Linked DNA regions of Sus scrofa. The protein of the gene in region 3 interacts with the protein of the main gene of each other region in a biochemical or structural test. Links are inferred from orthologs where the notes say so. Each region holds a gene or a part of one and is shown on either strand. Other genes may lie near its edges.

Region 1 (4,757 bases), on a different chromosome or scaffold from region 3:
CATAAATTATTCTGATGCCTTTATCCTTATTTTAACCTCCTTTACTGTGCTGTAGAATACAGGCTGTTATTTACTTGACAGCCTTTTTCATTTGATTATATACCTCTTGAAGGCAAGGGCTGTTATTTTTATTTTTCCATTCCTTACAATTTTATCTAGGACTCTTGTCCCTTCTTGCTCAATCTTTGTTTAATGCCATCTTGAGGGAAAAGGAAAATAAAGTTAGGATTCTAACCAATAAAAATATCTTAGCAATAGCCAAAGAATGATAAATGCAAGCACTTTTACTCCTAAATATGCTAATTGTAATTGAAAATAATGCATGTTTTTGAAACATGTTGCAATTCCAAGAAGTGGTAGCCCTAAACTTTTTTCTTTAAGCTGTGGAGTCTCTGAACTTTCCCCCCATTCACATCTCAGATTGATTACTTTCAAGAAAACAGAAGAGCTGAGTATTATCTATATAAACAAGAGATGTTCATTAACTGATACACACAACGACTTTTACTGGGAAACTACGGTGTTCCAAGTACTGTGTTAGAGGTAGCTAGACATATAATGAACTAAATAGACACAAACCCTACTCTCCTGGAGTTATAATTAGTGGGAGAGAGTGACAATAAAAAGTGCACTTATAAATCAATGCCTAATGCCAAATTGTGATATATGTCTCATAGGAAGAAAATATATAATATCAATGGATAGCAAAGTTCCCACTGTGACTTAGTGGTAATGAACCCAACCAGTATCCATGAGGATGTGGGTTCGATCTCTGGCATTGATCAGTGGGTTAATAATTCAGCATTGCCATGAACTGTGGAGTGGGTCACAGACACGACTTGGATGCCCCATTGCTGTGGCTGTGGTGTAGGCCAGCAGCTGCAGCTCTGATTCAACCCCTAGTCTGGGAACTTCCATATGCCACAGATGAGGCCCTGAAAAGACAAATGAAATAAAATACCAATGTAGAGGATCATTTTTTATAACCTATTAAGGAACACATATTACAGGGGGTTAAAAGATCTGAATAAACTGGTGCCAGGCACAGAAAGAGCGAGAGAACCAACATCTTAGAGGAGAAACACAGCCAGCGAGCTCTAAAATGGAAAACTGCAATGTTGGAGGAAATGAAAGACAACTAAAGGAACAAGACAGTAGTTAGCTAGAGTAAGACAGTAGTTAGCTAGAGTAAGAGTATCATCAGGTAAAATTGAATTCAATTAATACATTAATCCAATTAATACATCTAGGCTCCACTTCCAAGATGCAAGTGGTATAACACATATTTCCTAAGTAACACCCTCTGAATTGGCAAATCCATTGTTCCTTTTCAGATCTCAACCAAAATGATCCCTTTGCAGAATTTGACAATGATGCTTATACCATATCTTTCTGGATCTAATTCTGCCCTTAGCACGCCATCTTTTTTTGGGGAGCCGTGCCTGTGGCATGTGGAAGTTCCCAGGCCAGAGATCAAACCTAAGCCACAGTGGCAATACAGCCACTGCAGTGACAATGCCAGATCCTTAACCCGCTGCAGCACAAAAGACCACCATGCCATTTTTTTCTAATGCTAAGAGTGTGGGCTTTGTAGTCAGACTGCACTAGTTCATACCCTGGTCCTGCACTTACAAACTATGTAACTTGGGCAGTTAGCTAATCTCTCTCTCTTTTTTTTTTTTTTTTGTCTTTTTAGGGCCACATCCACGGCATATGGAGGTTCCCAGGCTAGGGGTCTAATAGGAGCTATTGCTGCCAGCCTAGGCCAGAGCCACAGCAATGCAGGATCCAAGCTGCATCTGCAACCTACACCACAGCCCACAGCAATGCTGGATCCTTAACTCACTGAGCAAGGCCAGGGATCAAATCCACAACTCCATGGTTCCTAGCCTGATTCATTTCCGCTGTGCCACGACAGGAACTCCAACTAGCTAATCTCTCTAAACCTCAGTTTTCTCAATGATAAAATGAAAAACCACATTAGAATTGAACTAGAACTTCAAAGTTACTTTAAAGATTGATGTACATGTTTAACACACTGCCTGGGACATAGCAAATGCTCAATAAATATCAGCAATTATCATTATTCCCTTCTTTTCTGTTTCGCATCTCTTTTAATGGTTCTTTTTCCACCCACACCTGAAAGAATATCCTTGTCTCCTTGCTTCTCAATTTTCTCCCAGTTAAGACCATATCCCAGTAAGAGCATATGTTCAACATGTTGAAAATGCCCAAATGTACTTCATTACATGCAGGACCTCTCTCTTCTCCTTTTTTTCCATTTTTTAAAGTTTTATGGAAGGACAGTTGATTCACATGTTGTGGTAACTTCTGCTGTACTGCAAAGTGATTCAGTTATACATGTACACACATCCATTCTCTTTCCATTTCTTTTCCAACATAGATTACCACAGAATATCGGGTAATGTTCTCTGTGAGGCTCTCCCTAGAGCTTCAGGAACCTTCCACACGTTATGCCTTCATATGCATTTACCCTTCTGTCTGTAAGGCTCCCACCTCCCTCCAGGGCAGTTTAACACTGAAATCTCACTGCAAACTGAAACTGATTCTCCCAGGCCGTTTCCACAGAACTTCATTCACTCCTCTTCCATCACAATGTTCTTCTATCACATTATCACTCTGAATTGTAACAGTCTTTTTACTTCTCTGTACCTGGTAAAAAACAGCAAACACTCTTGAGTGGTGACACAGGATAGGATGATGACGAGATAGATGGTACAGCGAGATCACACAGCCAGCTGACAGAACCCCAACTCCGGGAGTGTGATTCCAGAGCCCAAGCTCTTAACCACGAAACTTCAGTTTAAGCCTCAACGAATCACTCGTTGACTTAAACTACTAATTATGACAGGGGAGAAAAAGATGATTAGTTAAGCCATCTAGTTAATTTCTGGGCACAGAGGCAGGGGACGCACAGGAAGGTTCAAGGCTAAGTCCACCAGAGGCACGAAAAGAGAGCTGGAGAAAGCAATGAGTACCAGAGTCCCGTCAAGATGAGGTGGGGAGAGGAGTAAAGGGGCGCATATGGGGGCTGGGACAGAGCGGCCCGGAGGCATCTTAATTCCCCAACGCAGACGCCACTACACGGCTTACGCACCAAGACGGCTGGACTGGACAACCAAGTGGAATCCCTGGTGGCGGCGTAGCCGCAGACCAAATCCCCGCTCCACTCCCAGCAGCAGCCCGAGCCACCTGTCCACGCACTGATCCCGCTTCCGACCAAACTCAGCGTGGCCACGCAGCGTGCGTCCCGGGCGGAAGCGGTAGAGGTGCGGAGCGTTCGGGTACGGTCCGCCCACGCGCGCCGGACACCAAACACTCTCCCAAAACACCGGGCTCGGAAGGGAACGCGCCTGCGCACTGTCTGCCAATGGCATGCGACCCTGCAGCCACGCTCTCCCTGCGGCTTGGTCTCCAACGCTCGCGCCCCGCCTCCTCGCCCCCTTGACCCCACCCGCCAAACGTGAGCACGGAAATGACGTCAGTGCCAGGGAGAACGGAGGCGGGTTTCATTTCGGCGCCTTTCTTTCTCCCGCGGAAGCGATTGGCTGGCGTGGAGCAAAAGAGGCGGGACAAATTGCAGCGGGGTTCAGTGCCGCCACCGGGACCGGGAGATGCGGCGCAGGAGCCGTCGCTGTTGGCTTTTACCTGAGTCTCGTCTCTCACTGCGGGTACTCCTGCGGCTTGGATCATGCTGCTACCCTCGGACGTAGCCCGGCTGGTATTGGGTAAGCGTTGACGCGGTAGAGAGGGAGACCGGACCGGGCTGAGCTGGACGGAAGGACCCTCGGGGCCAAAGGTTTCCCCAGGGAGGGAAGCTCTGGGGCTTTGCCTCCCCGTCTCCGAGTTCAGGCTGGCGGTGGTTCTTCAGCCGGGGGCTCGGGCGGTTCGGGCTTTGTGTGTGGACACTCCTCTCCTTCGAGGTTGCGTGATGAGGAGAGGCTGAAGGAAGCCCGGAGTGGAACACCTGAAGCCGGGATTGGAGGGAAAGTCAGGCCTACACTTAATTAGGACCCTGCCGGGAAGCTGCTACGTGATGCACCGACGGCTTCACCTTGGCACACTGCACTTTGTCAGAATTGGGACCAAAGTAGGAAAGAGAGGGACTTCCCCCAGCCCCCTCCCCCCAGCTTTGTAGAAAGACATTCCTGACGCCCTTCTCGTAACTCGCCCTTAGAACTGCGAATTTGGGACGAATGGGTGATCTTCCTTCCTTATCCCGTCCCTCCGCAAGAAGTCGTCCAGTGTAGAGGTTTGAAACGCTAATTGCATACTTTCTGACGGCAGCAGCTCGGGTTCTTTTAATTAACAAGAATTTTCACAGGGGAAATGCCTTCCATTTGAACATTTCTAGTCCTAGTTAGTTTTTCCTCATTTTGAAAACAGTTTAGTTCCACGGCCAGTTGTCAGGGTACATTGTATGGGAAACGGGTTTTGTTATTTGTCGTCTGAAAGAATAGAGGATTGTACTGCTAGGAATGAAAGCCACATAAAGCTTAAAACTCGAGCCAGTGATTTACAGGCATCGTATGTAAATGGTAAACATCTGTAATGAAACTTCCCATGGAATCTACAGCCATTACTTTATTGTCACAAAATCCCATTTCTTGCTACTTTTTAAAGAACTCAGCCCTGCCCCTCCCCTCCAGTGGCTTTCGTGCACAGGTTTCTGATAAGTACATTTTACAGAAAACATTAGAGGGTAATCTGTTTTTGGAGAAAATAGTGACTTATAC
Region 2 (4,549 bases), on a different chromosome or scaffold from region 3:
TAGATGCTGTCTCAACACATCTTATCCCTAGCCAAAAGTATTCTTTCACTATCTAATGATCTCTAAAACAATATTATATGTGTAAAGCACCCACTTACTCTGCTGCTTATTAAAGTGATTTACAAGGCCTTTTTTTTTTTTTTTTACAACTTCATCTAACACTTCTAATAATGATGTCTTACTCCCAGGAATACTGATAAATCTATATAAAATGTCATTTAAAAAATAAATTTCAGAGTTCCCGTCGTGGCGCAGTGGTTAACGAATCTAACTAGGAACCATGAGGTTGCGGGTTCGGTCCCTGCCCTTGCTCAGTGGGTTAACGATCCGGCCGTGAGCTGTGGTGTAGGTTGCAGACGCGGCTCGGATCCCACGTTGCTGTGGCTCCGGCGTAGGCTAGCAGCTACAGCTCCGATTCGACCCCTAGCCTGGGAACCTCCATATGCCGCAGGAGCAGCCCAAAGAAATAGCAAAAAGACAAAAAATAAATAAATAAATAAATAAATAAATAAATTTCATCAGATGAATTTTATTAAGATCCAAATTAACACTGATTCAAGTCACTTAGGCTAATTTATCTCCCAGTTACTTTAAAAATAACTGACAAAAATTTCTGCCTCATAATAGAGATTTTTGTAAAGACTCAAATATAAAGTAACACTTTTCTAAGAGAGAGAATTGTATTTAGGCTTATACGGTTTAAATCAAACTGGCTACTCCATGCTAAAACTTTAAAAAAGAAAAAGCAAAAAACAGTTGCTCATCTTTTCTCTCAACTTTTTCCAAGGAGGCCTAGTAATACCTTGAGCAGAGACATCCCTAGAAAGGAAATACCTTCTTTCATTCCTTCACAAATACATGCAATCACTTACTAGAGTTTTAAAAAAAGTATCTTATGTAGCTGTTCTATTTTTATTCTCTTTTTTAATAATTCCTTCCCATTTTCAGCACTATTCCTATCAGTTGATTTTTATCATTGTAGCCAAAGATCCTATTGCTCCAGATCCCTTCTTGAATGGCTTCTTCTCATAGTAAAAATTATAACCAAAATTCTCACCTAGCTCTATCTTCACTCATCTTACCACTGTGCCCAAATCTAATAAAGGTAGTATAGGAAAAAAAAAAAGACCAATTTGACCTTTTTTGGGGGGGGGGTCTTTTTGTCTTTTTAGGGCTGCCCCCACGGCATATGGAGGTTCCCAGGTTAGGGGTCCAATTGGAGCTGCAACTGCCTGCCTATGTCACAGCCACAGCAATGTGGGATCCAAGCCACGTCTGCGACCTACACCACAGCTCATAGCAATGCTGGATCCTAAACCCACTGAGCAAGGCCAGGTATTGAACCCGTGTCCTCATGGATGCTAGCTGGGTTTGCTAACTGCTGAGCCAGGATGGGAACTCCAAGACAAATCTGACTTTTAAGCCTTAAAAATACCCTAAATGCTTTAGAGTTAAGAGTACTTTAAAGAAAAAGAGGAAACTCGATTGGTACTATCAAGGAATTGGCTACATATTTTCTTTATGTTTTTATGTAAGTTTAAATTGTTAATAAATAGTTGTTATAGGTTAGTAATAAAACTAGTTTATCATTTTAGAAGGGTTTGGGGACCAGAGAAGGAAAATATATCATTAATTATTGAAATTACAAAAATCTGAAGCAGAAATTAAACGATTTAAGTGATTTGCTTATCCATTTAAAAAGGTACAGACAGTAACTTCCAATTTCATGTTAGGCTTCAAAAAAAAAATCTTAAAAAGGGACTCTTTACTAGTAAGAGAAAAGTGATGGAAGGAAATAGCTTTGAAAGCACCAGTATAATGTAAAAACAGGTAAACTTCCAGGATAGAATCTCACATTATATTAACTAAAAAACTAATAGTTGCTATACAGAAAAGAGCTAGAGAAAGAGCCAACTAGGAGAAAATAGTATTTCATCCTGTGAAGAAAAATTAAGGAAATATGGAAGGAGTGATGTATTAAATTTTTTACTATGTGATACCAATAGTAAGTAGTGAATAGGCCTATTAAGGGCAATATGAAAGAACTTCTAAAATTGGTTTCTTTTTTTAACTTCAAAATAAAGAAAGTCCCTGACTCAAAGACAGTAGTTGATAAAGGTCAACTCTTTTAATCAATTCAAAGATCATAGGGTAGGCATAAAGTCTCCCAGACCTGGTCCATCACCAAGGGACAAAAGATTCAGTTTCTTCAGATGTCTTGGGGGGGGGGGGAATGACTTGGCACTGCATCATCACACACTTAAAATCCAATAGGGTTCCTTCCAAGCCAATGGAGCACTTTGCATCAAAACATACCTTGGTGTGGTACGGACGGAAAAATCATTATCTGCCTTTCATTTCCTGAACGCCTTATAAACACGTACAATAAAACACTCCTGATTCCCATCATAGGTCATGGAAAAAACCCAACTTGCCGTTTCCACCCTCTCCCCTTTAATAGGTGCTTGCATCTCAGCACCGGGCCTTGGAGTTCTCGACGGAAATCATTGTCCAGAAGGAAGTTTACTGGGCGAGAAAAGCAACGTGGGTTACAAAGTCTGTCACCGAAATAGAAATTAGTATTAAAAACACCGATCCTACCCTCCCTCCACCTACTCACAAAAAAACAAAAACAAAATCAAAAACAACACTCTCCCCGCAAACTTGCCCCACCATTATGAAGATCCTGCAAACGCTGATCAAATATGCTTCCCAATCATCTTCAGGCAAGAGAGCACCTGGGGCTAGTTTTCCGCCCCCTCATCCCAAACCCGTCCCGGGCCCGGCCCCCAGACTGACAGAAGGGGTTCGCTCGACGTTGGCCTGGAAGGGAAAGGGGGTCTTATCAACGAACCCCGCTCCTGCTGGGGGAAGAAGTAATGTAGGGCCAGAGGTAACACGGCTTAGGTTGCGGGCAAGGCTTCGGAACTGACGAGAAGACAGGCAGAAGCCGGCGAGAGGGGAGGCGGGAGAAGCAGCCGGGCCTAGGCCGCACCAGGCCGCGAAGTGGCCATACGCTGCTTCCAGACCAAGGCTGCGAGCCAAGCCTCAGCGAAGGGGGTTACCATTACCTGGACGGGTTCCTGCAGCACCGTCATCCTTGAGGCTCAGGCCCACTTTCTGCAGTGCCTCAGGCCCCCCCCCGTAGCGGCTCCGGCCCGGCCAGCCCCGGCTCATTTAAACTCACCAGCGACCGTTACCGGGGGATGGGGGAGGCCGAGCGATTGCCGAGTACTTCCGAAAGGGACACGGAAAAACCCGAAGTGGAGAGACCGGGGCGGGAGCCAGACGGAAATGACCGAAGGAAACCGGAAATACCCGAGGTGTATCGACGGAGGAGGAGACCGTTGCCGGAAATTGTCGAGGATTACCGGAGATTACCGAGTGTAACCCAGTGCGTAGGTTCCACTTCTACGCCATGCCTTCACTCACGCACGCCACGCCCCCCATGGGCCACCCTAGGGCACGCCCAATCCGCAACCAGTAGGCTGGGCATGGCTGCAGGAGTCAGCTGGGATCGTTACGTGACCCGGTGGCCGCCTTGCTTCTCCGCTCAACCTTGCTGGATTAATTGGTGCGCTGCAGATTAAGCAAAGGGTTAAACCCAAGAGTTTGGGGTTGACTTTAGTTAAACAAGAATTATCTGTATTTTGAGTTTAGGTCATTCATTCATTCCAGAACTATCTATTCAAGGCTCAAAAGGAAAATAGGAAATTGGAAGGATTGCCACCCCCGAAGATTTTGTAGGACCCCGGTCCTCAAAGAGATTATTGTCTATTTAACGGAAAACTAATGTAACAAAGAATAGTACATTATATGGTGATGTGAGCATTCAGAAGAGAGGAAAGGGAAATTAATTAGGATTGAGATGAGGAAGTTTCAGACTGGTTTCGAAGGATGGGTAGAATTAGAAGAAAGGAGAAAATAGAAGGAAGTAGAATGAGATCTGGTACGTTAACTGGAAATGATTATTTAGGTGGCCAGATCATGGAAAAATCTCAGGAGGGAAGAGTTTTTTATTCTTGATAGAGGCATTGTGGTGTATTGGGAAATTCAGAGGCTTAGTTTTGAATTTTATCTCTGGCACTAAATTGTATTAGGTCCTTAAGCAAGTCACAACCTCCCTGAACTTCTGTTGCCTTAGTCTGAAAAAAAAAAGCAATTAAGAGAACTAAATGCATTAAAGTATGTGACTGTGTCTAACAAACTCTAAGAGGTTCTCAAATTTACTTCCTGCTCCCTTTCCCCCCAGAATGTGTGAACAGGGAACTATCAAAACTTTATTTTTTGGTAGATAAGAAAAAGTCTTTGCAATATTTTTAAATTCAAGTATAGTTGATTTACAATATTATGTTTCAGGTGAACAGCAAAGTGATGCAGATATATTTACAGATTGTTTGCCATTATAGTTTATTACAAAATATCAAATATAGTTCCCTGTGCTATACAGTAAATCCTTGTTGCTTATCTATTTTGTGTAGAGTAGTTTGTAGCTATTAATCCCATACTCCTAATTTCTCCCTCTCTCTCCCTTCCCTCTTTGGTAACC
Region 3 (4,101 bases):
TTCGGTGCTAAAGTACTGATAGTGGCCTCTTCTGTGGGGAGGGAGGTGGAGGGTTGCAAGCTTCTATATGTGTCAAGATCTGAAAAAATGTTTTACTGGGAATGGAGAAGGAAGGATTGATTGAATTGATTGCTCTCGGCAAGTGCCCTGGACTCCATGGGGGTGATTTTACTTTGGTGGGAGAAGATAAAGGGGTTTAAGTGAAAACCCGGTGAGTCTTGAAATGGATAGTGACGAGGTTTTGCACAACAGTGTGAATATACTTAATGTCACTAAACTGTACACTTAAAAATGGCTAAATGGCAAATTTTATGTATATTTTACCACAATAAAAAATAAGCCAGGAGGAGTTCCCATTGTGGTGCAGTGGTTAACGAATCCGACTAGGAACCATGAGGTTGCGGGTTCGATCCCTGCCCTTGCTCAGTGGATTAGGGTTCCGATGTTGCTGTGAGCTGTGGTGTAGGTCCAGACACCGCTTGGGTTCTGCATGGCTGTGGCCGGCAGCTGTAGTTCCGATTTGACCCCTAGCTTGGGAACCTCCATATGCCGTGGGTGCGATCCTTAAAAAAAAAAAAAAAAAGATCCTGACTGTCGTGGTTTGGCGTCACTGCAGAGAGGCGGGTTTGATCACTGGCCATGGCACATTAGGTTAAAGGATCCAGCATTGCCACACCAGTGGCATAGGTTGCAGCTGCGGCTGGAATTCAGTCCCTGGCCCGGGAACTTCCATATACCCCAGATGCGGCCATTAAAGAAAAAGGAAAAAAAAAAAAAATCAGTATAGATGGATGAGGTGTTGAGTACAAATAAGGCATTGCATGTATTCCTTATTACCTAATTATCTTAGGTATCTTTTGTTTTCCTAATGTACTTGGGGGCCTTGAGTGAGCAGTGGGGGACTTAACAGGAACGTTTTCCTAATAGCAGGTCAGGGCTCTGGCCTTGGAACCTCTCTACCTCTCTGATTCTTAGATTTCCCACTCTACCTTGGGAAGAACGTGGTGGGCCGAATGCCCGAGTGCTCTGTGGCCCTGCCTTTTTCATCCATCTCCAAACAACATGCAGTGATTGAAATCTTGGCCTGGAACAAGGCGCCTGTCCTCCGCGACTGTGGGAGCCTCAATGGCACTCAGATCCTGAGGCCTCCCAAGGTCCTGGGCCCTGGGGTGAGTCATCGTTTGAGGAACCGGGAGTTGATTCTCTTTGCTGACTTGCCCTGCCAGTACCATCGCTTGGATGTCCCCCCGCCCTTGGTCTCTCGGGGCCCTCTAACTGTAGAGGAGACACCCAGGGGACAGGGAGGAACTCAACCGCACAGGCTTCTGTTGGCTGAGGACTCAGAGGAGGAAGTAGGTAAGTCCGAGTATTGGGAGGGCAGGTGAGGAGATGGGGACGGTGGCTGTAAAATCATCAACCTTTTTACTCCTGACAGATTCTCTTTCTGAAAGGTGTGTGGTGAAAGGACCAAAGACTTCTTTGACAACAGTGATTCCAGAGAGGTGAGTGCCAGAGGCCAGACAACTGAGTCCTCAAAAGGAGGAGGAACAGGAGTTCCCACTGTGGCTCAGTGGAAACGAACCCAACTAGGATCCATGAGGATGCTGGTTCAATCCCTGGCCTCACTCACTGAGTTAAGGATCTGGCGTTGCCATAAGATGTGGTGTAGGTGGCAGATGCAGCTTGAATCCACGTGGCTGTGGCGTAGGCAGCAGCTGCAGCTCTGATTCAACTCCTAGGCTAGGAATTTCCACATGTTGCACCTGCAGCCCTTTAAAAAAAAACGGTGGAACCAAGGGCTGGAGGATCCAAGAGAGCTCATGGAGGTCAGGGCTGGGAAACTCCTCATATTCTTTCATTCAACTTAGTTTTATTTGTTTCTTTTTAGGGTTGCACCTGTGGCATATGGAGCAATGCTGGATCCAAGCCACGTCTGCAACCTATACCACAGCTCACAGAAACCCTGGATCCTTAACCTACTGATCAAGGGCGGGGATCAAAACCACATCCTCATGAATACTAGTTGGATTCTTAACCTGCTGAGCCATAGAAGGAACTTCTCACTCAACTGAATTTTTATTGATCACCTCTGATGTGCCAAGTGGAAAACGAATGGCTGGAGATAGAAAAGCAAATACTGGAATTCCCATTGTGGCTCAGCAGGTTAAGAACCTGACACAGTGTCCATGAGGATGTGGGTTCAATCCATGGTCTCTCTCAATGGGTTAAGGATCCAGCATTGCTGTGGCTATAATATAGGCTGGCAGCTCCAGCTCCAATTCAACCCTTAGTCCAGGAACTTCCATATGCTACAGGTATGACCTGAAAAAAAAGAAAAAGAAACGAAAAGCAAATACTACCTCATGTCTGCTCTCGAGGAGCTCCCAGTTGAGTGGGGTTTCCCTTCTGGAGAAATAGATTCTGTAGACTCTCTCTCTTCTCCTCCCTTCACAGTGATGAAGAGGGGCCTTCCCCCGCCCCAGATGGCCCTGGACCACCTTTTGCCTTCAACTTGAACAGTGACACGGATGAGGAAGAAAGTCAGCAACCAGGAGCAGGAGAGGCTCCCTCAGCTGCAGAGACAGAACAGCCTAAACCTGTCACAACCGAAATCCAGCTCATAAAGGACCAGTGTCCAGTGAAGGAGAAGCACAAGGACGCAAGAGTTAAGAGGGCTGCCAGCAATGGGGTGGTTCCAGTTGGGGCGATTCTGGAGAGGAGCCAGCCTGCTGGGGAGGACAGTGACACAGATGTGGATGAGGGGAGTGGGCTTCCACGGAGGCCAGCTGGAGCCCATTCAGAAAGGGCCCAGCCTTGTGGCTTCATAGACAGTGATACTGATGCGGAAGAAGAGGGGATCCCCGCCACCCCAGCAGTAGTTCCCGTGAAGAAGAGGCAGATCTTCCATGAAGTTGGGACAGAGAGCCCCCAGGCACCTGGCGTGGCACATGCACAGGAGAGCCCGGCTGGTAGTGATACAGATATAGAGGAGGGAGAGGCCCCCCGGACGGTCCCTCTGGACAGCAGCCGAGCCTCCATGATGATCGACAGCAACATGGATGACGAGGAAGAAGTCTCAGCGGCGCTCACTCTGGCACGTCTGAGAGAGAGCCAGGCTGTTCCATGGAACAGAGATGCAGGTGCAGGAGACCACAGGGCCCAACCTGTGGCCCTTCTGGATCAAAGCCAGGCCTCTGCTGGGAGAGACAGTGACACAGACATGGAAGAAGAGGGGCTCCCCCTAGAAAAGAGAGGAAGTCTCCCCAAGGGTCCTGCAGACAAGGCCCATCCAGAAAAGAGCCAGCCTCCTCTCAGGGGCAGTGACGTGAAGGTGGAGGAAGATGAGCGCTCACCTGGAGTCCACCCAGGGAGAAGCCAAGCCTCTGCCACTGTGGACGCCATCACCCAAGTGGAGGAGAAAGCCCCACCAAGGCCAGCTGTTACACTTTCAGAGAAGCATCAGGTGCCTGTGGCATGGACACCTCAAACAGATGTGGAGGCAGAAGGCGACCCAGCAAAGCTGCCTGTGGTGCATCCAGCGGAAGCCCGCCCTCCTCCAGCTGGGGGCCATGAACCAGATGTGGAAAAGAACACGTCCTTAGCAGCCTCAGCTGGGGCAGACGTCAGAAAGAGCCAGCTTCTGGCAGAAGGGGATGCTGGGACGGAGTGGGCTGTAGCCATTCTTGAACAGGACCGAGCTCTTGGGGCCGGGGCCCAGAGTGTGTCAGCCAGGGCACAGGTGGGGCAGGACCTTCCCCTTGTCTCAAGAGAGCACCTAGCAGATGTGGCGGTGGACACAGGCGCTCCAGGGGAAGCCACCCAGACACAGAGAGAGGGAACCCAGGCCCTCACAGAGAGGGAGAGAGAACTAAACGTGGACAGGACCATAGACTCTGGAGACAACCGTGACGGTCAGTACTGGCTTCCCTTCCTCCCTTGACCCCTAAAAAGTGCTTAGAGGGCACCTTCATCCGTTGAGCTGCTATAACAAAATACTCTGGACCAGGTGGCTTATAGACAACAGTGTATTTCTTTGATTTTTTTTTAATTTTTTATTTTTTTTTGCCATTTCTTGGACCACTTCTGCGGCATATGGAGGTT

Evidence for each region.
Region 1: the proteins of MDC1 (region 3) and ATM form a complex in vitro, tested with the Homo sapiens proteins (2 studies listed by BioGRID, with this or other methods). The link is inferred for Sus scrofa from reciprocal best matches to the Homo sapiens genes MDC1 and ATM.
Region 2: the proteins of MDC1 (region 3) and CDC27 form a complex in vitro, tested with the Homo sapiens proteins (2 studies listed by BioGRID). The link is inferred for Sus scrofa from reciprocal best matches to the Homo sapiens genes MDC1 and CDC27.

The regions. Positions count from the first base shown.
Region 1 is NC_010451.4:36,619,267-36,624,023, reverse strand, and holds the start of ATM (serine-protein kinase ATM), read right to left. Parts: upstream 3,261-4,757; 5' UTR 3,119-3,260; intron 2,860-3,118; 5' UTR 2,140-2,859; intron 200-2,139; exon of another isoform or gene 104-199; intron 1-103. Other genes in the region: protein NPAT, read left to right, coding at 3,713-3,749.
Region 2 is NC_010454.4:16,809,579-16,814,127, reverse strand, and holds the start of CDC27 (cell division cycle protein 27 homolog), read right to left. Parts: upstream 3,261-4,549; 5' UTR 3,178-3,260; coding exon of another isoform or gene 3,099-3,177; coding exon 3,072-3,098; intron 1-3,071. UniProt on the Homo sapiens protein: Component of the anaphase promoting complex/cyclosome (APC/C), a cell cycle-regulated E3 ubiquitin ligase that controls progression through mitosis and the G1 phase of the cell cycle.
Region 3 is NC_010449.5:23,239,255-23,243,355, reverse strand, and holds part of MDC1 (mediator of DNA damage checkpoint protein 1), read left to right. Parts: intron 1-935; exon of another isoform or gene 936-975; coding exon 976-1,356; intron 1,357-1,435; coding exon 1,436-1,502; intron 1,503-2,454; coding exon 2,455-3,911; intron 3,912-4,101. UniProt on the Homo sapiens protein: Histone reader protein required for checkpoint-mediated cell cycle arrest in response to DNA damage within both the S phase and G2/M phases of the cell cycle.